4 linked regions of the Mytilus edulis genome follow. The main gene of each other region encodes a partner of the protein of the gene in region 4 in a complex. Links are inferred from orthologs where the notes say so. Each region holds a gene or a part of one and is shown on either strand. Other genes may lie near its edges.

Region 1 (7,541 bases), on a different chromosome or scaffold from region 4:
AAGGCTTTTGAATAATAATTCTTTACAATTTGCAAATCTACAAGTACTTGAATACAATTGGTCTTTTAGCATTTCGACTGCCATTTTGATTTTTCCATAGACCATGTTACCAAAACTATTTTTATTTTGCATTTTGTCTTTTAGATATACATAAGTGTGTTGTACATGCATATGTATGTGATAAATATTTATGTTTTATATGTGCTTTGAGTGTTTCAAATGTGCTGTGTACTTTAGATGTGCATGATGAAAATGGCAATGCATGTTGTCTTATAGATGTGCTTCAAAAATTTTATTCTTGCTCTATACAATTGCTAAATTTGCTTTGTATGTGATACATCATCTTCGTTAGCCAAGGGTTATGATCCACTCCCTTTCTCTTCACCCTTGGTGGATTGAGATAAAATTTTGGAGACACAAGGTAAGGATTTTTATTGGTCATGTTGGTTGCAGTCGAAACTCGCTGCATCCAATCAAAAAGCACCTATAACATGATCACATGTAAATGAAGAAAGTGTTTGTAAACAAATGCCACGTGTTTATTGTGCAACAAGTCTTAACATTCTATAAACATACGACTATATTTAGTGACAACTTTAATGTTTTTGTTCAATTGGTAGAAGTTCCTGTGTATGTTTCATGCACAAATGCATGAATGTTGATGTATATTTTTGTTTCTGGCTTTATCAAGTGTGTAGAATCTAGACGCTACCATGTTTTTACCTCCAAATTGAAGAGTTCAAGTGCTACCATTAGTCAAGAATAATGTATTCGGAATGGGCGTGACTTTAATCTTCCGATAGATGGCGCAACATTGTTTTTACAAATGTTGGCTTAATCTGCCAAGTGCCAAGGGTGAAGAGAACATGGAGAAAGGGAGTGGATCGTAACCCTTAGCTAGCGAAGATGGTGATACATTGATATGTGTGAATTTAATATGCAATTTATGTGTTTTAAATGTGCATCATCCTCTGTAACATCAATAAATAAATAAATTATAAATATTACTGAATGATAAAAGCAGTGATATGTTTTTTTCCATCTGCTGGAACATTAATATATTTGTAAACCTAATGTTTTCTTTATTAAAAATTGCAGATAAGTCACATTGTCGACAATCATCAGAAACAGAAACATGATCAGATACATATATATAAACTCATCATAGATACATGTACCAGGACTAAATTTAGTATATATGCAGCTATACTTCATTTACTTACAGTTTCTTAAGAATTGTAAAAAAAATTAAAAAAGAACATACTAATGTAATGTTTATTGGTCGTTAAGGTTACAGTTGAGTAGAATCTTAGCTTAGAAATGCATGGTTTACGCTAGAAAAAGAGTTAGGCAGATTTAGATGTTTGGCGGGAAAATCAGTTGTCGGGTCGAAAGTTATAGGGGTGGTCGTAAGGGACTCTATGATTTCCTCTATGCTCCGTAAGGGTAACATTTAGAGAACACCCCTATCAAGTAAATAGTGGTATCGACCACAGGTATATAAGAGAGTGAGAAACAGCACTCGAGGCTGTCGGTTGGCTGTCGATGAGCTGTCATCCTTCAACTGAGCGTACTTCGGATATTTTAAGTGCTAGAAGGGCCTTGGTATTCAGAGTATACTTTGTACTGGGTACAAAGTGGAAGTACATGTTGACATAGCAGACTGTCCCACTGTCTGGTAGTGAAAGACTGTCCCACTCGGAGGACAACTTGTACCAGCCCGCACTGTCTGGTATTGACAGACTGTCCCACTCGGAGGACAGGCTGTACCAGCACACACTGTCTGATACAGACAGACTGTACCAGCCATACTGTCTTTTAGTGACACTGTGTCACATCGTCCCATCTTGAGGACAGGCTGTTTTATTGTATTATATTTGTATATATATATAATTGTCCGTTGTTACTTTATATCGGCAAAGAGTCCGTGTGTATATTTTAGTTCATTGTGCATAATATATAGATAGTTGTAGTTTTTAGTATTACCATATTGTTTGTGGACAATTGGATCCAAGTATTTACTGGAACGGACGTTTGAGATATAAACGCCTAGTTACACGTTACACTAACATTAGCATGATTAGTAATACACATATATTGATAAAAAATTAAACAATTAGTGAAGTAAGAATAAGTCTTCTTGTAGAATGTTAGGTCTTTTCTATACACGTCACGTATCTCCTTTCAGGTCAAGAATTTAGCATCAAATCTTTTTTTTTATTTCAAACATTTTATTTTTATATCATGTCATGCATGTGGATCTTTACCTTTAATAAAATTTGCAAAAACTTACTAGTCCGAATGAAATTTTACTAGTCTGGGGCATCAGACTAGTGGCTAACCGTGCAGACTGCAACACAAAAAAAACGTTGTCTCAATTTATTTTTGAGACAATGACAACAAATTGTACTTAAAGGAATACACTTGCCAAAACTTGAAACCATTAAGAATGTGCGCGAATGTGTAAGGTGCAGATGGACTTTTAGTGGTAACGTGTACGTAGGGTGTGGAAGTGAAATTTGCAAACAAGACTGGGCGCGAACGTGACTGGGCGCGAACAGACCTGGATTCCTCCTACACCCCCCCCCCTATATAGCCCCTGTGATTGTGCCACATTTATAGTATTAATAGTAATACGTGTTGCCATGCCTTATTAAAAATGTACCTCGGTCAACGCTTTTGAACCACATGGAATTTACAACAAGAAGCGTTCAATTTCATAATATCTGGTCTTGTTTATCATGTGATATACATGGACGTCTGAAAAACGTCAAAATAAAAAACCATACTTGTTTTGTTCAAAATGGCTGTCTGATCTCGAAATTAATTCATTTTCCTAACACAATGAGCACATATTAAAAATGTATGTTATACCATCAGATTCAGATGTTTTCCGTTTCCTAGTGGGCTGATTTTTCCTGCTTTTCTTAAAAAATACGCAGGATTTTTGTGATGATCCATCGTCCGACATTTTGGACTATTTTCCGACGCGTAAAAATAACGAACTCTGCGATTGGAATATAAATGAACGAAAACTTCAGTGTCCAATCAAATTACACGTTATAGATATTGCTTCTATTTTCCGCATAAACAACAACAAATACACGTGGTAAAAAAGGTAAAATTTGTATATTGAAAATCAAAGTATAAACAGGAGCAAATAGGGAGATATATTGTTCCAAGGCCTACTATATTTACCTTGGACAAATGCAAAAAGTTCCCAAAAATTCAAAACCTTGTAAAAGAATGTTTTAGTTTAGTTTAAACATGTATTTCATAGATTTATTTACAGGTGATAGAGAAGCAAGTTTTGCAACTTATATTAATCCTTTTCCACTTTTCCTGTGCGTGTGCTGCCTTGTACAAAATGTAGCAGCATTAGCCTGCTCTATTTCAAAATATGCAAGGGTGTCTTTAACTTGCAAGAGATGAACACGCCCGGTCAGCCATTTATCATCCCCTTTTGACAGACTATCCTCGTTTCCTCAAGACCATACTAGAAAATGATGCCAAGGGAGAGCCCTAAATAGATGTATTTACACTTGTATGCAAATTGTCCGCCATTACGTAAAATCACACAGGTTCCCGTAAACTTTGACATCATAATTCAAAATATTTGACGTCACAATTTAAAAGTGATTGTTGCTTGACGTCAGAAGGTGATTCGGAGTTGATCTAAGGTCATTCGGAGGCAAGATTCAGCTAAATACCAAAAGTGTAAATACGTTTATTCACAAGCGCTTGGGTATAGGATACAGATATTTTTTTGTTGTTGATTCAAATATTCAATTTTCTATATTTATAATACATATCTATCACTACTGTACATGTCTCATTTCTAATGACTTAAACGACTCAGAGAAAATACCTAATTTTACTATCTATACTAATTCAGTCCCTGAAATTTTCATCACGGAACAGGATTCAAACCAGGAACTTTTGTGTTAGCATGGTTAGTAGTCTGATGCACTATAACCACTACGGCAATGGCTCTCATCAAGAATGTTTTAAACATTGTTGTTTATATAAGCAGTAAACAGGTAAAGGAATTAAAATATCCCTAAATTTCCAAAGGCACTTGGGACAATACATTTTTTGCCGTCCCCCTTATTTACAAAATCGTTATTTTATTATAAAGTCTATTTAATAAAAACAAGAAATGAGAAACACTTATGAATTTCCACATCAATAACCACTGAACAACAGGAGTTAGTTTCACAAAAAAATTTACGACTAAGATGTATCCTAATTATACTGAATTGTTTACTACTTTCGATCAATCATAATCATAAGTTTTTTGTGTAACCGACTCCAGGTCCGGGACTTAGGACAGGTGCAAACAAATGCAGCACATTTGTAAAATATGTTTCAAACAGTTTTATGAGTTACATGTATATATTTTTCAGTTTCAAAAATGGATTTAGAAAATGTTTGTGTGGTTTTACCTGCCGGTGGATGTGGTGTAAGAATGGAAATGGACACACCTAAACAATATTGCAAAGTCCTAAACAGACCTCTTATACTCTACACAATACATAGTTTTCATAGGTAAATGTTTGTGCTATGTTAGAATGGAAATAAGTACACCAAAACAACACTGTAAATTACTAAACAGACCTCTATTACAATACACAGATTTCATAGATACAATGTATATGTAAAAATGGAAATGCATGGACATTCCAAATATTGTAAAAGATTTCTTATGTACTCAGATTTTCCCCAGCATGAATTTAGACAAACCGATGAATATTTGAATGGTTAATTAAAGTTAGGAATTTTGGCAAGCCATGAGGATTAGCATTGAAGAAGTTGAATATCTCCAAATTTTACCTTACAAACGCAAGCTATGAATTTGAAGCATTTTAAAATTCTTCAAGGTGAACATGCATACATGATCATAGGGGTGTAATCATACATTCATGGTCTCAAAAAAGTTTGTGGCCAATGGAAAGCCTTTTTTTTAAGAAGAAAACTAATGACAACGCTACACATGGCTACAGTTACATCCAATGATCTAAACCTTTCCATTTCTAGAATTTTTAATAAACTCTTAATCTAAAAAATTCTCTGTTTTCAATGAATTATGTGCTGTTTAAATTTCAGTCTTTTTTCCCAATTTTCAGACTAAGCTGGATAAAAATGATTGTCGTTGTGGTTGATGAGAGTTATCTGGAGTTCATGCAGAATTTACTAACAAAATATAAATTTACTAAAGTGAAGTTAGTTACTGGATCTCCAACAAGACACAGATCAATTTATAATGGTGTCAAAGCACTGGAAACAGGTACATTTTATGTTGCATAACTTGATTTTTTAAATGAATGTATGAATGAATCTGTTTTCTCCATGTTTATGAAGATTTTGCATACAAAAAAAAGCATTTAGAAAAAAAGTGCTTATTAACACAAAAAAACAAAATATCATACAATTTGAAATCAGTTGAGATATGTACACAATAACAGAGCACTTTATCATGTTTATGGGAAATATAAAAAAGAAGACAAATAGGAACAAGTTTTAATCAATCAACGTTTATTTAAAACTAAAAGTCACATAAGGGTCTTCAGTAACATTGAAAACTAGAGGCTCTAAAGAGCCTGTGTCGCTCACCTTGGTCTATGTGAATACTAAACAAAGGACACAGATGGATTCAAGACAAAATTGTGGTTTGGTGATGGTGATGTGTTTGTAGATATTACTTTACTGAACATTCTTGCTGCTTACAATTATCTCTATCTATAATGAACTTGACCCAGTAGTTACAGTGGAAAATGTTAGTAAAATTTTACAAATTTTGTGAAAATTGTTAAAAAAAAATGACTATATAAAGGGCAATAACTCCTTAGGGGTCAATTGACCATTTTGGTCATGTTGACTTCTTTTTAGGTCTTACTTTGCTGTACATTATTGCCGTTTACAGTTTATCTCTATCTATAATAATATTCAAGATAATAACCAAAAACAGCAAAATTTCCTTAAAATTACCATTTCAGGGGCAGCAACCCAACAACGGAATGTCCGATTCATCTGAAAATTTCAGGGCAGATAGATCTTGACGTGATGAACAATATTACCCCTGTTAGATTTGCTCTAAATGCTTTGGTTTTTGAGTTATAAGCCAAAAACTGCATTTTACCCCTATGTTCTATTTTTAGGCGTGGCGGCCATCTTGGTTAGTTGGCCGGGTCACCGGACACATTTTTTAAACTAGAAACCCCAATGATGATTGTGGCTAAGTCTGGATTAATTTGGCCCAGTAGTTTCAGAGGAGAAGATTTTTGTAAAAGATTACTAAGATTTACGAAAAATGGTTAAAAATTGACTATAAAGAGCAATAACTCCTAAATTGGTCAACTGACCATTTTGGTCATGTTGACTTTTTTGTAAATCTTACTTTGCTGAACATTATTGCTGTTTACAGTTTATCTCTATCTATAATAATATTCAAGATAATAACCAAAAACAGTAAAATTTCCTTAAAATTACCAATTCAGGGGCAGCAACCCAACAACAGGTTGTCCGATTCATCTGAAAATTTCAGGGCAGATAGATTTTGACCGGATTAACAATTTTATTCCATGTCAGATTTGCTCTAAATGCTTTGGTTTTTGAGTTATAAGCGAAAAACTGCATTTTACCCCCATGTTCTATTTTTAGCCATGGCGGCCATTTTGGTTGGTTGACCGGGTCACCAGACACATTTTTAAAACTAGATACCCCAATGATGATTGTGGCCATGTTTGGTTTAATTTGGCCCAGTAGTTTCAGAGGAGAAGATTTTTCTAAAAGATGACTAAGATTTACGAAAAATGGTTAAAAATTGACTATAAAGGCCAATAACTCCTAAAGTGGTCAACTGACCATTTTGATCATGTGGACTTATTTGTAGATCTTACTTTGTTGAACATTATTGCTGTTTACAGTTTATCTCTATCTATAATAATATTCAAGATAATAACCAAAAACAGCAAAATTTCCTTAAAATTACCATTTCAGGGGCAGCAACCCAACAACGAAATGTCCGATTCAACTGAAAATTTCAGGGCAGATAGATCTTGACCTGTTGAACAATATTACCCCATGTCAGATTTGCTCTAAATGCTTTGGTTTTTGAGTTATAAGCCAAAAACTGCATTTTACCCCTATGTTCTATTTTTAGCCATGGCGGCCATCTTGGTTGGTTGGCCGGGTCACCGGACACATTTTTTAAACTAGATACCCCAATGATGATTGTGGCCAAGTTTGGTTAAATTTGGCCCAGTAGTTTCAGAGGAGAAGATTTTTGTAAAAGTTAACGCAGGACGACGACGACGACGGACGCCGGACGCCAAGTGATGAGAAAAGCTCACTTGGCCCTTTGGGCCAGGTGAGCTAAAAAACGTTGTATCTCATCTTTATAAATATTACGTATAGAGAATTATTCAGTGTTAAAATCTTTTTAAGTAACCATGGTAACTGATACCATTGAGATTATATATGTTTGATGTCTCGTTGACCCTGATTTTGGTTCTTTATTTTTAGATATTCATCTCTAGTTC
Region 2 (7,550 bases), on a different chromosome or scaffold from region 4:
GCAATCCATATATACACATAACCCAAAAACTGGTTAAGGAGAGATAACTTTACCAAATGTATTGACCATACCAAACTGACATAAATGTACACTAGGTCTAGGACATTCCAATACACCTTATCGCTAATCCTGGTTGACCCGGCCGCTTGAACTTTTGACACTTTCCATTGTGGCGTCAGATATTTTGTTTTGTGACGTCAAAATTTTACGGGAACCTGTGTGATATTCAGTAATGGCGGACAAATAGCGATAACGTGTATTGTATTGATAATGTCAAAGAGTGACCTCTGGTTGTATCAGATTGTATATTTCCCCATAGAAAAGCATATGACATGCCCCTAAAAAAAAGAAAAGAAATTTTTCTTATTGTTTATATATTACAGATAGAAATATGTATTTCAATACACCAGTAGACGGAATGGTGATAATTTGTTACTGTTACTAGTGTTAGTAAGTTGTTCGTGATAAATTTATGTGTTCGTTATGTATGTTACCTGTCCAAGATTTGGTCCAAGAGGTGGAGCTGGAGCAGCTTGACAGGAGTTTATATTTGTCTTCAAAAACGGGGGATGGATAATTTTCTCTACACCTCTCTTTGCCCCTTTAGCAACTTTCCTTGCACCCCGTGCAGCCATTTTTATTGGATAACTCTAGAGAATCCCGAAATAACTATAGAGTTGTTTCCCTTAGATTTCTCAAAAATTAAGTCATAGTTACAATACCGGAATGGGAAAAAATATCCGGATTTATATTTTATTAAATAAGGGGGAGGGGGTATTTATTTACAACAGGCAACATTCATATACATAAAGAATATATGAGACAATATCTGAAAAAGTCTAATTACCATGTCCCGATCTTTCACAAGCATTTTTTTTTCAGGCATCTTTTTGGAAATTTTCAAGTTTTAGTCACTATACTGACTATAGGGTATATATAATGCACCAACTGCACCCAATTAAACATTCTTTTTAATTTTTCTTCTAATAAAATATTATGATTTAAATGGTCCCTCCCAAAAAAAAAAATCATGTCCCCTGTTATTTTCTGAAAATTAAATCACTCAAAGAATAATCTAAATTAAGTAAACTTGGCAGCCTTCTGATTTTCCCAAATCCGTGAGTGATAGATTATGTATAGAACTTCTCCATTACTGGTCTGATTTTGTTATAACTGAAGCATGTAAGAAAATTTTGCATTTTTAAAGGTCTTTTAAATGTTGTCCCCAGGGGTAATTTCCCTCCTGTTACCGCTGGTTTTTTTTAAGCTGTGGACACGTTCGAAAGACCAAAAATTTATTTCTTGTAATGCAATGTGAAGAGAATCATTTCCTGAATGTATGACTTCATATGTTTAGGTGTATAGCAGCCAGTTTGAAAAATCTGAACTCCTTAAAGATCAGAATTTGTGGGAAAATAATTTTGTTGATCTAAGCTGTTACATTCTTTTTGTGTACCTTCTGAGAATATTTCAGTTTCAGCACTATAACAGTACATGTGTTTCATAGTATCTTATCAAATTGATATGTAGGTGGAAGTAAACTTCTACACAATTCGAGTAAATGAACAAAAAGTACTGCGCAATTCCTTTCTGTTACGTTCTGTCATGTTACCTGATAAAAAGTAACATCATAATCATAATCAGTAACAGGAAGGATGTTCAAGACAATTTTACTGATGAATCAAAAATTTAATCTACTATATACCATTGCAAATGCTAAAATCAATAATTGGCATTTGATAAACTATTGCAGGAATAACTAGTAAAACACAAATAGTGTCCTAAAATTTTTCCTTATTCCCATTAGAAACTTTTTAAAATTGATTCACTTTGGTAACAGGAAAGAACTGGATTTTGTATAAGTTTTAAAATTGTCAGTGTTACCACATTTAAGAATTGTTTGAATAACAGACAACAGTTCCTAGATCCTCAATGTGTGTTCTTTAATTTGTGCTATTAAAATACTGGGTCTGAAGATTTCTTTTCCTTATTGCCAAAATTAGATTTTCTATAGTACTCGTACGACCTTTCTTAGGAGATTGCCTTTATTCCTCATTGTCCCAACATCTTTAAACATAAGTCAAAGACATATAAAGACATATAAAGCTTTATCAAGTTCGAGTCGGTATATGCAATACAAGTACAAGAAAAACTCATATTCATAATTCCGTTCATGTGAATATTATATATCAAATTGTTTCTTCTAAAAACAAGTTGATCTCCTTAACTCCTATTTCACCATTAGAAAACAGCTGATATGTCAGATCGAAAATGTACCTCAGAGCGAGTCAATTTTAGGTCCCTCATTATTTCTGGTTTCTTGTTTTTATCAATGATATGAAGTTTATGTTGATAAAACCAGCCAGGCGTATATAATTATCATATAGTCATGCAGTTTTGGGACATAATAGTAACACTATATATCCAAGATATACAAGGCATATGTACTATATGTCTCTGACTATACTATCACTACTAAAATATAATGCCTTAATATTAATATCTATACTGGGATCCTGTCTCACTGCTCGATGAATTACTAGATTGGGTCCAGTGGCGGATCCAGGGGATGGGGGGTAACTGGGATTGGAACCCCCCTTTTTTGGACGATCAAACCATTTGAAGAGGACATATAGTTGGACCCCCTTTGTCCTGGGTTGGGACCCCTTTTTAAAATGGCTGGATCCGCCCCTGAGCGGTCACTGACGTCAGGCTGATAAATATCTCGACGACCATGTTTAGTATTTTCCCCTTACATTTTCCCCATGACTATTTAATCGAGAAGCTGAATCAAATAAAATTGAGAATGTAAATGGGGAATGTGTCAAAGAGACAACAACCCGACCATAGAACAGACAACAACAGAAGATCACCAATAGGTCTTCAATACAGCGAGAAATTCCCGCATCCGGAATGGTTTAAAATGATTGAAATGGAGCAGTAAATCATGATAAACTACAGATTTTGACAGTTTTAAAATATGAAACTCTCTAAGGCATTTGTCTGAGTTGTTACAGAAAAAAATCCGGTTTACTAGTATATACCTTGATATAACATTTATGTTTATATTTTTATGACTGACTGACTGTTTAAATATTAAACTATATCGGTTGTGCTTGCTTTCAGTAACATTGATAGATAGAAGTATTTGATAAAATATCACTGACATAAAATATTACAAAAGTAAAGTATTAAACCATAGCAGACATGTATACATACTCAAATAAAAAGATCTTGAAACAATATATTGCATTCTGAAAATCTGTTTGTGGTATTTAAATTTTGAAGGAAAAAAAAACTTACAGTCATTTTTTCTTAATTTTGATTTTGAATTGCCTAAATTATGTATGTGTGTTTTTGTGATTTGTTTAACACTATTTTAGATCATAGTGAAGGTATACTACACATGTAGTACAAAACATGTTAATTTACTAGTCAACAAAAGGAACGATAATATGCAATGCTTTTTCCATAGATATTATAGTTCAATACACGCACGCTTTTCAACCCTAAAAATATCCCAAACGGTCTAATGTTTAAAGGATACTGTTTTTTTTTTTTTTTTTTTTTTTTTTTATCATCAAACTGCATTGATTTACCGAAAGCGTACGTTACGAAAACGCAAGAGCGCGAAAAGGCAAAAAATCGAAAATGCGAAATGGCGAAAACACGTAGTAGAAAACGCAAAATTGAAGTCGAAACCGCGAAATCGGAAAAAAAATATATCAAGTTCGCATTTTTAACTTCGCGTTTTCCACTACGCAACGTACTAACTTCGCCACGTTATCACCCTAAAAAATAAGAAGGGCGAAAAGGCTAACCGGCCAAGTTTACTCATCTATCTTATTAGAGTATATTACGGTCACGATACACCTTATCGCTAATCCCGGCTGACCCGCCCGCTTGAACTTTTGACGCATACAACAATCACTTTTCCATTGTGGTGTCAGATATTTTGTTTTATGACGTCAAAATATTACGGGAACCTGTGTGATATCCAGCAATGGCGGACAAATAGCGATAAGGTGTATTGTCAGTAACATATGTCTCTTTTTTAATATTAAAATTTGGATAGAATAGAATAGAAAAAAATATTGAAATTTATTGGCAACATATGTCAGCAGGGGCGGATCCAGCCATTTAAAAATGGGGGGGGGGGGGGGTCCCAACCCAGGATAAAGGGGCGGGTTTCAACTTAATGTCCCCATTCAAATGCATTGATCGTCCAACCCCCACCTCCACCGTAGACCCGCCACTGCATGCATGAAAGCCGGTCATGAAATATTACAAACATAAGCTTTGGAAGAAAAAAAAATGTTTAGCCGTTTTTTTTGTTAGTTTTAATTTTGAATTGCCTAAAGTTAAAAGATTTCATAGTGTCTGCTTCAAATGAAGTTTTAACTCAAATCCTCACAATTGTTGGCGCAATTTTACAAAACCCGGATATTAGTACTGATCCGTAATAAACAAAATGTTTTTGTATAGGACCGTCTTTCAATCAATAGTTGTAATTTGTTCTACCCTTTTGTTCATTCTCGGTACTCTTCGGACTTTATTATTTGATCCAGCATGGCGTCGGTACCTACTACTGACGAATTAAAGAAACTTAAAGTTGTTGAGTTAAAACAGAAATTAACAGAGCTTGGATTATCTACTCAAGGTTTTCTTATTTCCCACCTTCATTGCATCGGTCAATAACGAATGTTTAAATGGCTAGCACAGCAAAATAATGTATCATATACGCTTGGCTCTGTAGACTGTACCATTTTTTGTTATCATAACACAGGCCAAAATACCGCTATGTTCATAATTATCGGTATCCTAACCCGACCTAACATTCCAGCAATTAGTGTCCAAAGTAACAAAAACGTTTTTGTTATTGTTACTTTTTCTGATATCAACATATTATTACATTGGTTGCAATGAATTACATTGATTTCCCAGTTAGATAAAAACCGATAATTTCACATGTGAAATAAACGTGGTTATTTCACTCTCTGATGTCATACAACAATAGGCGTTGTCAAGACGTCGATAACGTCGGATCAAAAGAAATTGTCAATGCGTAGGAAAAAGATATAGTTCCTTACATTTTCTACATTAATTTCATAAAAAAAAGCCATTTGCCAATGTAATAAAAAGAATAACTAATTGCTGTATTTGAATATCAAAAATAAGACAACTTGTGACCGAACGCCACTATGGATTAAACTCGTGCTGCGCACTCGTTTAATCCATGCGTCGTTCGGTCACGCGTTATCTTATTTTTGATATTCAAATACGGCGATTAGTTATACAGTACGCCCAAGGAGTTTGTAATCCCAAACTCCATACTCCGATATTTTTGCTGGTGTAACACCAGGAAACTCCGACATCCCTCCCAAAATTCTCGGAGAAATTTGGGAGTATTCCCTCCGACTTCCGCGTAAATCCGCTACCTTTTGTTTATTGTATTAGCGACATCTCTCCCAGTCTGGTGTGACGCGGTGTGACACCAGGTAATTAATTGCCCTAATCCGTCTGATCTATGCCGGCACGTGACAGTCAAGGTATGTGAGATTTCTAATGTAATTAAACAATTGTATTTTCTGTCTATTGATTATCAGATTATATCTGATTGCTTGAAACAAATGAAAGATTAAAATAAAAAGCAAAACGTTGTTGTTAATTCTTTTAATTACACTGTACATTTTAATAAAGTTTTTAAACAACTATATTTGATTTTGACTTCCGTTTTTTTATCAGTAAATAAATATTTAATTTACTAAAAGAGATATAATTGTGCAACAATAAACGGAGACTAACGCTGAATAAATGAGGGCAGTTTAAAGAAAAATTACACGTCTCAAAGTTTTTTATACTGCAAGTAAAAAAGAAAATATTATTCACTATATGTTATGCTAATAATTCTACACCATTTCCATTTTACGATTACAAAATAAAAGTTTTAAAATCCAAAACGTTGTTGTTAATGCTTTCAATTGCATTAAAGTTTTATAAAAAAATTCTATACTTGATTATGACCTCGTTTTTTATTTATCGGTAATTGATATAACTTACGAAAAGCGACATACTTGCGTGCAAATAAACGGAAACTAACGCTGAAGGTATAAAATGTGAGCAATGAGTTTAAAGAAAATTACGTGTCTTAAAACTTGTATATGCAAGTAAAAAAGAAAATACTATTCACCATTCGTTATGCTTAATAAGTCTACGGCATTTTCTCTTCACGATTATCATTACTTTAGGATATATATAATACATTTCGGCTACAACAGGAATACTTCTATAGCTGCATCAACTCGTCGTTGCATAATATTCATTTACGCACAATGAATGTAAACTTTTGTGTTGTATTTAGAACAGTGATCTTTAAATATTTTTAAATTTAAAACAATTAATTGCCGTGGGAAGACGACACGCATCTCAGTGATCAACAGTGCGTGGTTGAACTTGAACTTGACTTCGCTCACAATATTGAATGCTAAAAATAGTGACATCAATTTTGTCCACGAGATTTTTATTTGGCGGGAAATAGTATCACGTAACAGTAAACTCAGGTGACCTTTCTGGATAACCGTGGGAAAATTCATTGAAGGTTTAAACTTGCTTTGTAATGATTGACATTTGTGTGCGTTAAGATTGAGGCTCTAGAAGGTCCTTTTACAATTGATTAACCATATTCTAAATTTTATTCCTTTTCTGAATAAACGAACATCAGCCTTTTATTTATACGTTTCTCAGTCAACAGAGGACATAAACCTGGACATTATTTATACTTCCATAGTCAACACTATACATTAATGGTAGATGAAAACAGGATGCATGTCGTTCAGTTCCTGATGGGCGTTGGTAGAGATCCTCTGTGAAAATGTGTCGATCGTAAAAATCCGATCCACATTTTTTTTACATATTTCTTTCTTGAACGATATAATTTTATTTTAATATTCTATAGTATAAATTGTTGAAATACTTCTTTTTATATTTCGTCGAGGACTTTTAACGAAGAGTAAAATACGGATTAAGCCAATCCAATTTTATTTAAATAATAAAAGATCAATAACAGATCATAACAGATAAAAAACACGTGATTTTATTTCTTCATATAATTAAATAAGGTTGTGATTATTGTGTTGTGTCTGGGCGGGGAATTATCTCAGTATTTATGAATATAGGGCTGCCACATTGCATACAAAACTATTTGTCACTTTACAGTTTCTTTTTTAAATTCAAATATTTCAAGTCGGTAATCTACCGAGGTAGTGGAACATAATATTTTACATTTCAAAATAAATTGAAAGTAACAGAGTTCACTTGTTGGTCCGATAAATTAACTCTAGGGTTTGATTTAGATTGGACAAATTACCGTAAAAACATCATTTTGTTTTAAGCCAGTTGATATTAATTATATAATATTGAACTATTAATGAACCGGATATTGCTCACTGAGTAGGCCATAAAAGGTTCTAATTGTGGTAAAATCATCTTTGATGAAACTTTGTTGAAAAAACAAAAATTATGAACTGATCGGACTATAATGAAAATACTAA
Region 3 (6,849 bases), on a different chromosome or scaffold from region 4:
TTATTAATAAATGTAATTATCTCAGCTTGTATTTTATAAATTCAAATAATCTTTCTTTTTAGGTATTTGGGAGGGTGTCACTGTGGGTGGGTGTTGTCTCAACCATGGGTAATTAAATACTAGTTAAACTTTTATATCAAACAGTCATTTCAAATTCAAAGTTGTTTAAGTGTATTATATCAAGTTACGCTATTATACATCTGTAAACAGTAAGAAACTTCTAGATTTTTACTGGCCCTTCAAATTTACAAGAAATTTATTACCTCTTGGAATTGTAGTAATATTTTACACTATAAAAAATCTGCATGGAATATGAACATTTACATGTACTAATGATAAAGAAAATTACTGTCACATGTTTTTTGGATTTTGACATGAGCATTCGTGAACTAAAAGTAGTTTTGAGTTTCTGCATAAAATATTTTCTGCTTTTTCTTTCATTTAGCATGTTCAGAACTAAATCTTTTAGTTTTCAATTCTAATGTTTATATTTCATCATCATAGATGTATTTCATCCCCTGCCTGGAAGTATCATTTTGATCGGCAAACCTGGAATTACCCTTATCCATCCAGGAACTTGATAAAGTATTGTAATTTTTTGCATTTCCGGTTTTATGGCATCCATTGTTTTTCAATGTTGTTTTTGTCAGTCAGATATGATTTTGGTCGGTTTTACACATTACTGCTGGTTAAATTTCAGTATAACCCTAGTGGTTGAACAAAATGAACATTGCTGTCATAAATAATAAAGATGAAAATAAATTTTGAGATCGTTTGGAAATTTTGGTTAAAAAGGTTGGCAAAGATTATTTTTATTTTCCTTCAGGTCCAAGGTCCGTAGGTCGTAGGTAGTAACCAAAACGAAGGTCTGATTGCAAAAGTGGAATGTCACGGACCTCAGACCACCGCTAATTTGAACCCTTGCAATTGGTATGCAAATTTTTTAAGTTGTCTACCTTTTGGATAATTACGTCTGCCATATTGTTTTCAACAAGTAATTTGCATATAACTTACAAGACATGCTTATCAATTCACTGAAGTTAAATTGCACTTTATTGAGTAAACACGACTAATAACTTCTTCTTCTTCTTCCGTTAAGGAGTTGACCTCATATTTGAGTGATTTACTAACTCCGCTCGGTAAAACAGGAGGCTTCTCCATTGATTAAAAGTAAATATTAACAAATAATTAAAACTATATATACACTGTACAATTTGGCAGGCTGATGTCTAGTTAGGCTGCATCTGGGTCCAGGGCACACTGGCTAATCTGGCCCTGAACTCCTCGAGTGTTGGTGCAGCTGCTACTGTGTCTGGCAGAAGGTTTCAGTCTCTTATAGAGCGTGGGAAGAAGGAGTTGTTGTATACTTCCTTAGTAGCTCTTATCTGTCTAAGTCTGTGAACTTAAAATTAAAAACTTTAAAAAAAATTTTAAAAACTTAAAATTATATCATGTATATACTTTGATATTATTTTAAGAACTATAATACCATATTTTCGATGGTAAATCAATTTGTCCTTTGGATATTAATTAGTTCTTGTAATACCCAGGAAATTGTCTGGTCAATACACCTTATCGCTATTCCCAGCTGACCAGAGAATCTGTACCGCTTGAACTATTGACGTCATACAACAGTCACTTTCCATTGTTGTGTCAGATATTTTGTATTATGATGTCAAAATTTTAAGGGAACCTGAGTGATTTCCAGTAATTATGGCAGACAAAGAGCGATATCTAACGACAAACGATAGCCGGACCAGAGGTAAAAACAGCTTCTTCCAAGAAAGGGCCACAACAGACGCCTTCGGACAATCATTTTTTCCAAGGACCATTAGAGACTGGAACCAACTGCCAACATCCGCAACATCAGCTGACACAGTTGATGGATTCAGAGCTGCCCTGAAGGCATGCTCTGCTAAAATTTAGACAGTAACATCCTGTACATAGTTTTAATTGTATATATATAGAGAACGTTTTATCCTGTAAATAGCCAAGAGAAAACTTTCTGTGTTGTCCGACATTGCATTAGTTTTTGAGGGACCTCATACATTCAAGATTTGAATTCGGTTCCTTACCTGGAAGAAGAAGAAGAAGGAAAATACAAACTTATATTGACATTGTAACCCAAAGTTTATTCAGTTATTGAATTGTTTTTGGCATCAAAATACCATATATCTGTTTAATTGTACTAATCATTTTCAATAATTTTGAATCAATAGTTTGGACTATGTGACTTGCAATATAATGCCAATGACTGTCCCTGAAATAGCATACCTGCAAATTATTGTACTTTCTTTTTCTCGATTTGTCGGTGTTAGATTTGAGCTTTAAAATAAATGTAGACATCAGTTTTATAAAACGTTTGAATGATTTTAAGCACGATAGGGTCTCACTAATTAGTGACAACAAGCGTCAAAAAGCGACAACAAGCGTCAACAAGCGACAACAAGCGACAAGAAGCGACAACAAGAATTATTTTAGCGACAACAAGCGACAAGAAGACTATTTAGCGACAAGAAAACATTTTTTTTTATTAGATATAAAGAAATTTGTATTTAATAGTTTTTTTTAAATATACGAGCAGATATGTCTCAATTAAAATGTTTTATTATATTGTTAGATGAAGAAATTTAACATTTGTGAAGAAGAAAGAGATTGAGCTTCTTTTTTTTATTTTTAAATATGAAGAATAAAAAAATTATGTATAAGATAATGCACGGGGGGGGGGGGGGGGGGGGGTAACTTCCTATTATTGGGTATACGGGGATGTGCCAAAAATATGGGTCATAATTTTGCGAGATTTTATATAAAAATGACCCTCCTTTTTAATGACATCCTATATTAAAATGCATTTACGTTTGATAATTGTATATTGATTTGGGGTATGATCTACATATCATATATAAATATGCTATTGATATGTGCACCAAACGATTTCAATTCATATATAAAAACTTAAGGGTAGCTGGTATATTTATGAATTATGAGTGATGATGAGTTAGTGCTTATATAAGCATGGGTCATATTTTAAATATTGTATATAAGTATATGTCATTCTTTCTTAAATATTTATATAACTATAGGTACTGAATTTCAGTGAATGTTATATTAAAATGGGTACGTTTTTTGAGACAAAAATGGCACACCCCTACCAAAAAAATATCGAAGTTACCCCCCCCCCCCCCCCCCCCCACCATGAGATAATGTAAGTATCTTTTTTCATCAAAGTCAAAGTATGAATAAACGAATGGCGATATATATGGAGCGGGCATAATGGAATATAATATTTTGATTCTAACAGTATAATTCATTGTTTTAAAAAACAAATTATAAGATAAATAACATGTTCTTTACAATGGAACAATGGAAAAGCAAGGATTTGTATAGTACTATACAAATCCTTGGGAAAAGTAATCTCATAATACAATAATTAAACGTAATACTGGCTGTTATTCATAATAGATGATAAAATATTATGTAAATAATGTTTCATTTTTTTCTATCAATTTTAACTTTCTTGTCGCTAAAATTATTTTCTTTTGCATATTCTTTTAATATTTATTGCAATAATTTATTTTAATTAAAAAAAAATGTTTTCTTGTCGCTAAATAGTTTCTTGTCGCTTGTTGTCGCTAAAATAATTCTTGTTGTCGCTTCTTGTCGCTTGTTGACGCTTGTTGTCGCTAATTAGTGAGACCGGCACGATATTCTAATTTTAAATCAAACACGGAAAAAAAACATAGAAGAGCTTTTTATCGTTCATATTGACTTTCTTTGGAGAGGAAAAAAAATGAGAAATAATTTTATTGAAGGATTCACTGTTCTTTTCAGAATAAAACAGTTTGATGGAGGGATATAACAGTTGAGTTATACAGAACAAAAAAGAAAAAACTATCCGGAACTTTAAACCGGAAGTGTACTGCCATCTAGCGTCTTGAACAAAAGCGAAACGAAATACAAACGTAGCCGCATGGAATAGAAAACAAACGCTAAATTATTTAAATAAGGATCAACCGGAGGGAATATGGCTGATGCAGCGGCCAGATCGCTTCAATATGAGTACAAGGCTGTAAGTTAATTTGATAAATGGCCCAGACAAATTATGTCTTATGATAAACGTTACTGACTGATTGCATTTTTTTTTAGAAATGACAACCAACTTCGGGATGAACCATAAATTTTAATAACTTTCTTCAACCATCCTGGATTAATTATTTTTCTACCAAACTTGGACAGATGCTTGTTTATGATCACAAGATAGCATCCAGAGCACAGGTATTTGGGGCATGGACCCCCCTTTTTGGACCTCACTAAAAAAAAATTGTTTGGTGTTTTTTTTATGTATTTTCAATTTTCTACAATGTATGAACATATATCAAGTCTCAACAATCCATTGCTAGTCGATTGCAATAACTTTTTTACTATCCATACGATCCCCAAGTGAAAAAAGAAGAAGGTAATTACCTTCGATGACTGACCTACTTTCACTTTGGAGGATCAGGTCAGGAAATCGATAAAAATTTCATATAAAAACTCACTTACTTTTCATAAAAAGTACATCCTTAGATTCCTGAGATATTTTTCTCGACGTTTAAATAGGTCACATGGTGATCTGCGGAGGTTTTGTGTCTTGTTTTACTGATTTTGTTCTACATTTGTCGTCCGTTTGAACCTCGATGCACGGAAGTGAAAATACAGCGCCATCTGCGTGGTCTTTCGCTATGTTTCTATAACTCCTTTTGACTAAACTGCTTTCCTGTTAACTGTTTTTTTGAATTTTTAAAAGACCGGCAAAAATACTTTTTTCGAATATCTCTTACCTTTTCTTATAGCTACATTGCATTCGGAACCCATCTGTAAAACTGGTAACCAAAAACAGGAAAGCAGTTTAGTCAAACGGAGTTATAAAAACATAGCGAAAGACCACGCAGATGGCGCTGTATTTTCACTTCCGTGCATCGAGGTTCAAACGGACGACAAATGTAGAACAAAATCAGTAAAACAAGACACAAAACCTCCGCAGATCACCATGTGACCTATTTAAACGTCGAGAAAAATATCTCAGGAATCTATGGATGTACTTTTTATGAAAAGTAAGTGAGGTTTTATATGAAATTTTTATCGATTTCCTGACCTGATCCTCCAAAGTGAAAGTAGGTCAGTCATCGAAGGTAATTACCTTCTTCTTTTTTCACTTGGGGATCGTATGGATAGTAAAAAAGTTATTGCAATCGACTAGCAATGGATTGTTGAGACTTGATATATGTTCATACATTGTAGAAAATTGAAAATAAATAAAAAAAAACCAAACAATTTTTTTTTTAGTGAGGTCCAAAAAAGGGGGGTCCATGCCCCAAATACCTGTGATCCAGAGCAGAAGTAAATTTGTGAAATATAAATCTTGTTTTTCCGTATTTTACTTATATAAAATAGACGTATTTACACTTGTATGCAAATTTGTCCGCCATACACCTTATCGCTAATCCCGGCTGACCCGGAGGCTTGAACTTTTGACGCATACAACAATCACTTTTTCATTGTGGCCTCAGACATTTTGTATTATGACGTCAAAATTTTACGGGAACCTGTGTGATATCCAGCAATGGCGGACAAATAGCGATAAGGTGTATTACATAAATTAACACAGGTTCCCGTAAACTTTGACATCATAATTTAAAATATTTGACGTCATAATTTAGAATATTTGACGTCATAATTTAGAATATTTGACGTCACAATTTAAAAGTGATTGTTGCTTGACGTCAAAAGGTGATTCGGAGTCGATCTAAGGTCAATCGGAGGCAAGATACAGCTAAATACCAAAAGTGTAAATACGTTTATTGGGTGAGTTTTTCTTAGTTAAACTAGTGTTCTCCCCAGAAATTTTGGATAGCATCACATTTTGCGTTAAAAAAAATAACTGTATTTTTTTTAATGTCGTTTGTCGCGTCGTGTTGATGCTCTATTTCCTTTACTTTTTAGTTTATATTGTTCAATTCATAACTGAGAATACAATTAAACTATAACCACAAAAACAGTTGTTTCAGTTTATGTCTTCTTTGTTCATTTATAGTTACAGAATTATTTTTTTCCTCTTGTGCCAAATAAAAATAAATATGTGGTTTCAGTTACCCAACAATAAGTCAAATGAATGAATTGTTCATTATAGTGCAACCTGTATATATACAAAACTAAATTATCTAGTATACAAAATTAACTGCTTTTTATATTATATCAAGTAAAGATAAAGTAGCAAAAGAAGCAAAAAAATCAATTTAAAAACTTTTTTTATCATGTTTATGAAATTCATTGTTTCATGCCACTCAATGAATTAGTCCCAGTTGTTTCTTATCTTTACATCAAATTCATATGTATTTTTAACAAAGTTATCTAACAAATAGTCTGGTAATGCGTAGTTTTCTCTCTTGGTTTTTTTTTCTGTCTACTGTCCATCTGTTGTCATTATCGTGAAAATGCAGATTTTTGTCATATCTGGTCCGGTTCCGATCCGTAGTTTACACAAAAATGTGCAATGGCGGCCGTAGTAAAATTTACGAAAATGAGTCCGAGAATAAACATTGTTTGACAAGAGATTGTGAATGAATAAGACGCTTTTAATGCATAAAATGGATTAAACATAAACTGAAGCCAATTATGATAACTTTTTAAAGAAGTATAAAACTTATTTTAGCTCTAAACCAAAATTCTCGCTCTCGTATTACCGGAAGAGAAAGAAAGTAATTTTTGGGAGAGTTGCACAAATAAACGACCTTTTTTGAAAATAATAAAAATCGTTTCAATCTTTGAAATTTCGTAATACAAAACGTAGATTTCGAATTGTTTTGTGAT
Region 4 (7,026 bases):
AAATGAAGAAAAAAAAACAATTAAAAAATAAAAAATTTAAATAACATTAAAGACAAAAAAATTATAATAAATTAACAGAGTAAAACAATATTTTATTCTACATTTTCAAAAAAAGGTGAAATGTCAATTTTAATAAAAACCCAAGTCACCTGTACAGGTAAATTTTAATGAAACATACCAGCTGAAAACTTCAACCCTGATTGATTTTAACAGGTAACATAATTAGATAAAAAATCTGCCCATGATTTATGACCCCCAATAAATGGCCAACATCTCAAGATTGAATACCCCAATAAATGTTCACCATTGGATGTTGACCATGCAAGAGGGTGGACATAACTAAGAGGAAGTCACAGGCTGTACTGTAGCTCTAGCAGACTAGATAAGGAACGATCTGTAAGTTCTGCTGATGACACAAGAGCTATAAAGTCCTGTTATTGAAAAAGGAGAGTTTCAGGGTCCATGTCAAATGTATTTGCCAGAGCTTCTTTCTCTGTATAACCATACATAGTTTCACTGTTGTCTGTTCAATTCAACAAGCATCTCCGTATATTTCATGTTGAGCGTATCTAATAAAATCAATAAGTTTGTCAAACCGGATTTCAATCACAGGCACTTGTTTCTATTCATATTGGAATACCCCCTATCAATGTATATTTACGGAAATATACGTTGATAGGGGGTCTTCCAATGGATAAAAACAAGTGCCTGTGATTTCAATAAGAAAATTGATACAAAAATCGGACTTTCGAGAGCTCCGCAATCGGCACAATAAAATAAAATTATTTCAATTTTGTTAGTTTATTATCAATTCAACAAGCATCTCCGTTTACTTCATGTTGAGCGTATTTAATAATATCAATATTAAAGTTAGTCAAAACGGATTTCAATTTAAGACAAAATGATATAAAATTCTGACTTTTGGGTGCTCCGTAATCGACTGAATTTACAATAGAAGAACAATTGTGATATTTGATAGAAACCTTTCTTCTGCTCGATTTTTCATAAAGGTAAAGAATTAAATTATTTTTTACTCTTGATGGTCATTATTCTTGAAAAAAGATGTAATAGACTGGCAGCCAAGTCTTTGATATTTTCTTCTTGTCATTTCCGAGTTGGTCAATTTTTCTTTTTTTCGTCGGCATTTTGCGTGTTGACCTATTGGAATGATTCTTTTTAAATGAACGTTATTTTATAAATAACAAATACATTAGAAATGAACACCGTTCACATTTATTTTATAAATTCTATTTTGCATCGTCAGGTGTTAAAATAATCAATTCATTTAACTTCGATGTTTGGTGCTTCAGGGCAAAGGGATTAGACAGGGTCGTAAATTTCACCTGATTAAGTAATTGACTCCAATCAAATAGGTGATTATATACAGGTAACAAGTGTCAACAATTTTAATCTGTTGTCTTAATGAAGTGTGTGTGCATAAAGAACTCAAGAAAATGGCGACGATATGAGGAAAAAAGATCGTTTTTTAAACTTTTTTCAAAAGGGCACAATGGGGCGCAGGGGCGCTTAAAAAAGGCAGAGGGGCGCAAAATTTCGGGGGCGGGGCGCCCCTCCATTTCATGCTACATTTGTAGCTGGAACACTGAATGATGGTATCGGGATCGTTCGCCCTGATTACATGTTCGCCCTAGGTTCGTTCGCACTGAGTTTGTTCGCCCTGGTAATCCGTTCGCCCTGGGTTCGTTCGCCCTATTTTCATTTATGATATGTATATGTTACATTAATGAAAGAAATATATATTTATATATATTAAAATTTATGTATATCTATAAACAGTTAAATACAGCATATTAATTAAATAAAATTCTTGGCTGCATTGTTACACTTTATTTTATAATTACTTTTAATTACTGTTGATTGAATTTTATTGCTGATTAGGTACATGTATGATTTGAAATCTTTGGTATCACTGATTGGTATATGAATTGCCTTTGATGGATTGATAATGAAAATAACATTTTCTCAAATAAAATAGTCGGCTTGGATGGGTAAAAACACTGATGTACAAATTGTTAGGCATGAACTTATAGCCTAGTAGCAGCTAGCTGTAGACAACATAATACATCGTAAATATTCGGCGAAATTGTAGACCGACTTCAACATATTTAATTAAATACACACAACACAACACTATACTAAAAATAAAAATCGTAAATATTCGGCGAAATTGTAGACTGACTTCAACATATTCAATTAAATACACACAACACAACACTATAATAAAAAATAAAAATCAGGGCGAACATACCCAGGGCGAACAGGTATCAGGGCGAACGGTCTCAGGGCGAAACGGAACTAGGGCGAACTGTAATTAGGGCGAACCGAAATCAGGGCGGACGGACCCGGATTCCTGAATGATGAAACCATACAAACAGATGATTTTATGAAATAAAAGTATGTTATGATTTTGTTCACACAATATTATCTAATTATTGGTTTTATCAGTTGAATGAAGTGGTCATAAGTCTTAGATGTGCGGATACACTGAGGTAGGCCGGATCGATGTGTTGCCGGATTGTCATGGAAGCAAAACAGGGAATACCCCACTTTTCCTGACCTGTGTTCATGGTGTCTAACCTGTTCAAATAATAATTTATAGAGACTTGGTGATCTCTAACAGGTCAATTGCTGCATATCATGGAAATATATATTAAGGAATGTCTATGTTTCTTCATATTGCATATTCCTTAATAGGTTATTAAATATGGAAAAACAATTTTCAGGATCATATGGTCAACACCAAATAATTTACATTACTCAGTAGGGTTCACCGTTGACTGTGTCTATACAAATAAAAGATTTTAAGCTGATTACTTTCTCCGGACTAGAGGAACGATGTCGTTGTTTCTTATGCTTCTTTTTCGCTTTTGTCTCATCATCTTTGGCCATAACTTTAGCTAATATCGTCGTTTGAAATACGATGAAAGAAAAATAAACAGGAAGTTACGTACGACGACAGCGACACCTGTTCAAGTTTTCTAAAAATAGAAACAGGTATCGACTAAGACACGTAGATAATCCGCATTATCAATTTAGGTATCAGTGATTTAGCCTGTGACTATTATAAAGTGGTCCATTTACTTAAGGACCTGTCATTTTCTTTCCTTTATTTGGGCAGGGGTACTAGAAGTCGATTTTGAAATTTCTCTTAAATTTTCAAGTTCTAATTTGAAAACGGGAAAAATCCACAAACACCCACAAGCAAAAAAAAAAAACATCCCCCAAAAAATGTATGACAAAAAGCACTAAGGTAGTTTACCATGAATGGGGCTTAGTTAACGTACAGCGGTAACTATTACATGGAGATTCAAGCGGATTTGTATGTGCTTTATCCGATCCGCAACCTCCGACACTAAAGGCGAGCCGGCACAATTTCATCATTTGCGACACCATTGATACAGTAACCGCCAATTCAAAATCCCTATCTGTTAACCAAGTTTTTCGATTTTCATAGTTTTCTGCCGAATATTTCAACTTAAGTTTAACTTCATAGAAACCAGGTACATGTATCCTGAATTGTACACTGTATCACCTTTCTACATATGCCAGTTTTCATCCCATGTTTCAAGTCTTTCAAGAAAAAATTGCATATCGGAAGATAAGCACTACTAAAAGTATTAACACCTGTTTTTTTCTGGAAATATTACATTAGTATACTATTGAGCTCATTAATCCTTAACTTAAATGCAAACTCATTGACAAGTAAATTTTGGATGAAATGGTCTAAATATATTTTTCTCTCACCAAAATAATCGTTTCTGCAGATTTGATGGTTAGTTTAAGGAAATAAAAAACACTACTTTTTGTCAGAGCATGGTCTTTTACATACGTTCTAAATTGTATGTCGTACATTGGTGGTCTGACTCCTAAAGCCGGGCAGCATATATCCATCAATCATTTTACTATTATTATTCAAATAAAAGCACATTACGTTCAGTGGCGAATACCTCTTTTCTCAGTCCACGTGTACATGGGCCAATATGCCATTTTATTCGAAATCCAATTCATATTAAAAAAAAAACTACAAAGATAATTCCAAAACGGTATTATCAGTTGCATTCTGTTTTAAACAAGGTTAATTTCGTTTTCAGTAAGAACTAGGGTATTACCTTTTAAAAAAAAGTTATCTGTAATGGATCGAGCTGGACACTTTCTGAATGCCCTCTAGGTTTTCATGTAGCGCGTTGTGGTATTTTGTGACAAAACAAACAATCATCTGAAAATAATCGTACAATTGTGAATTGCACCAGGCAGGATGTACATTAAAATAAAGCATATGAACAGTATAGGTCATAGTACAGTACCATCTGTTCATGCTTTTTTTTTTAGTTTGAAGACACGAATCACATATTTCGTGAATATAATTAACTTAGTACACCCACGAAAGAATACACGAGAAGCCCTGTGTTCACAAGGTTTAATTGGCCAGGTTACATTCTCATTTAGAACACACACAAAAATAAACAGTCAAACAGTGATGGATATACGGAGTAATATAATATATATTTAAGACCTTTCTCCTACCTTATAAAAAAGAAGATGTGGTATGATTGCCATTAGTCGAATCGCAAGTATAACTCCATGATAACAATGTTTTCATGATGACTTAATTTTATTGAAAATGATTTGTTTTGTGGTTTATTCAATCAAGGACAACAACTGATCGAATTATCGACACTAACTAAAGACAGGTACAGGCGTTTCTACCTCAGGAATAGATTACCTAAGCTGTATTTGGCCAAACTGTTAGATTTTTTTTGGTCCACAATGCTCTTCAACTTCGTACTTTATTTGGCTTTTTTAACATTTTTAGATTCGAGCGTCACTGATGAGTCTTTTGTAGACGAAACGCGCGTCTTGCGTAAATATAAAATTTCGACCCTAGTATCTATGAATAGTTTATTTACATCCACTGCGTCGATGCCACTGCTTGTGGAGTTTTAATTCCCCGAGGGTATCACCAGCCCAGTAGTCAAACTTCTGTGTTGACTTGAGTTATGATAATCATTGATATGTTCATAATTATAAATTAACTTAAAATTTCAATACTGGTATCTATGATGAGTTTATTTATTAGAATATGATGGAGTTAAACATGTTTCTATGCGATAAATCCTTCTTTAACACGAGACTGTTGTGAAACAGTACACCATCAGAACAAGCTGTAAAAACAGCTGAAACGGGCCTTACTTGTTAAATTATCAAGGCGAATGTCACTAACAACGTCAAAACATTGTGAGTTGTTGATAAATTGACCAAATATCAGAGGACTAGTATATTCTGTATTTGGTACAGAGTACTGCATACATTTTCAATAACAATGCCACTAACTTCACGTTTTTATTTCATCTAATTTGGGGAAAAACCGATGGAAGTCTTGATACATTTTTTTATGTACCATATAAATCATTCAAAACATACGATAACAAAAAGCAACTCATTTAAAACCTACCAAAACTTAAAACAAGACACTTAAAATCAAAATATCAATGTGATAAACAAACAAAAAATGATACGAAGACAGTACAATACCACCAAAAACAACACATAAAATTGATGTAAAAATTAGAGAATATGAAAACAAAAATCTAGAATATTTATTGTTTTGTTTCCATGGAAACCACATACAAATATAAATATTCCTCAAAAAATGGATTCTTGTCATCAATATAGATATTCAATCCTTGAGTACTCAAATATACAATATTGAGGTGGAACACATTTACAACATTCCAATTTTCCAAAGAAAACAATTAATCAGAATTTTGTTTGAATTTCCGTATTTTTCTGATTATGTATTATCGTACGCAAATACATGCCAAATATGAACATGTTCGAAACCAGTTGAAATATCATCATAACGTTTGTATTCCTAGTAAGCACATTAATAGTATTGACAAAGGGTTGAAAAAAAAATGAAAATATGTATAAAAAAAGTAAAATCACATAATACTGAACTCCAAGGAAAATTCGGAAAGTCCCTATAATCAAATGGCAAAATCAAACGATAAAACACATCAATGAATGGACAACAACTGTCATAATCCTGACTTGGTACAGGCATTTGCAAATGTAGAAAATGGTGGATTGAACCTGGTTTTATAGCGCTTAACCTTTCACTTGTTTGACAGTCGCATCACATTTAATTTACAACGATGCGAGAACAAAACATACACAATATGTAAAAGAGTCAAAACATGGATACAGCAGTCATCACTGTGTCACAATCTCAAAACAAATAAATATTTAACAAAAGAGCACAAAAACATCTTTCAAATTTAAAAAAACACACACATTAATGCCGTTCAATGTTTTAAAAAACAATATATGCATAATTCCACTCCCATCTGGACCTATTTTCTTAGTCACGGTCACATACTTATAGGCATATGTTCCAAACAAACTGCATTAGTTATTATCTAAAACAGTATTCACACATTCCTATTAAGACAAAAATAAAAATACATGTGTCAATATATATAAGATAAATGTAAACAGTTTTCAAGGTGTACAGTCTGTTCCCAGAGAAAACAATTTTCCAACAAATACTAAGTCAGGCGTTTCATCTGCTATGTAGTTCTGAAAACAAGGATACAAATTGAATTTTGTAGCCTAGAATTCCTAGCTTTTTTGTTTCCCTTTGTATCTTCGATAAGCTGAACGTGTTCAACCAAATACTAAGTAAGGCGTTTCATCTGCTATGTAGTTCTGAAAACAAGGATACTTATTGTATCTTGTCACCTAGAATTCCTAGCTTTGATTGGTTCCCATTGATTTTTTGATAGGCTGGACGTCTTCAACGACTTCACGTAAAATATCAGACAGCGAGGAATCACGTTGATTGGCACCTCCTTTTTGTAATTGTATAATCAGTTCGAGTTGTTCTCTGTAAAAGTTCAATCAGAGTTTTCAATTATTCCATTTGATTATTATGCGATTTTTTTTAAATGCAACTATAGATGACGTCATGCAAAATTGGACCAAGTTTCTTGATCAAATATTTTT

The links.
Region 1: smad nuclear-interacting protein 1-like (region 4) and E3 ubiquitin-protein ligase RNF113A-like share a complex: the UniProt entries of both Homo sapiens proteins name them as parts of the minor spliceosome. The link is inferred for Mytilus edulis from reciprocal best matches to the Homo sapiens genes SNIP1 and RNF113A.
Region 2: smad nuclear-interacting protein 1-like (region 4) and splicing factor 3B subunit 2-like share a complex: the UniProt entries of both Homo sapiens proteins name them as parts of the minor spliceosome. The link is inferred for Mytilus edulis from reciprocal best matches to the Homo sapiens genes SNIP1 and SF3B2.
Region 3: smad nuclear-interacting protein 1-like (region 4) and U5 small nuclear ribonucleoprotein 200 kDa helicase-like share a complex: the UniProt entries of both Homo sapiens proteins name them as parts of the minor spliceosome. The link is inferred for Mytilus edulis from reciprocal best matches to the Homo sapiens genes SNIP1 and SNRNP200.

The regions. Positions count from the first base shown.
Region 1 is NC_092345.1:33,822,924-33,830,464, reverse strand, and holds the start of E3 ubiquitin-protein ligase RNF113A-like, read right to left. Parts: upstream 3,027-7,541; 5' UTR 2,972-3,026; coding exon 2,875-2,971; intron 1-2,874. Other genes in the region: D-ribitol-5-phosphate cytidylyltransferase-like, read left to right, coding at 4,415-4,548, 5,127-5,287. UniProt on the Homo sapiens protein: Required for pre-mRNA splicing as component of the spliceosome. As a component of the minor spliceosome, involved in the splicing of U12-type introns in pre-mRNAs. E3 ubiquitin-protein ligase that catalyzes the transfer of ubiquitin onto target proteins.
Region 2 is NC_092346.1:9,790,100-9,797,649, forward strand, and holds the start of splicing factor 3B subunit 2-like, read left to right. Parts: upstream 1-4,534; 5' UTR 4,535-4,569; coding exon 4,570-4,660; intron 4,661-7,550. Other genes in the region: large ribosomal subunit protein uL11m-like, read right to left, coding at 495-635. UniProt on the Homo sapiens protein: Component of the 17S U2 SnRNP complex of the spliceosome, a large ribonucleoprotein complex that removes introns from transcribed pre-mRNAs.
Region 3 is NC_092347.1:15,196,517-15,203,365, reverse strand, and holds the start of U5 small nuclear ribonucleoprotein 200 kDa helicase-like, read left to right. Parts: upstream 1-3,831; 5' UTR 3,832-4,024; coding exon 4,025-4,069; intron 4,070-6,849. UniProt on the Homo sapiens protein: Catalyzes the ATP-dependent unwinding of U4/U6 RNA duplices, an essential step in the assembly of a catalytically active spliceosome. Plays a role in pre-mRNA splicing as a core component of precatalytic, catalytic and postcatalytic spliceosomal complexes.
Region 4 is NC_092353.1:19,625,969-19,632,994, forward strand, and holds the start of smad nuclear-interacting protein 1-like, read right to left. Parts: upstream 3,014-7,026; 5' UTR 2,911-3,013; coding exon 2,836-2,910; intron 1-2,835. UniProt on the Homo sapiens protein: Required for pre-mRNA splicing as component of the spliceosome. As a component of the minor spliceosome, involved in the splicing of U12-type introns in pre-mRNAs. Down-regulates NF-kappa-B signaling by competing with RELA for CREBBP/EP300 binding.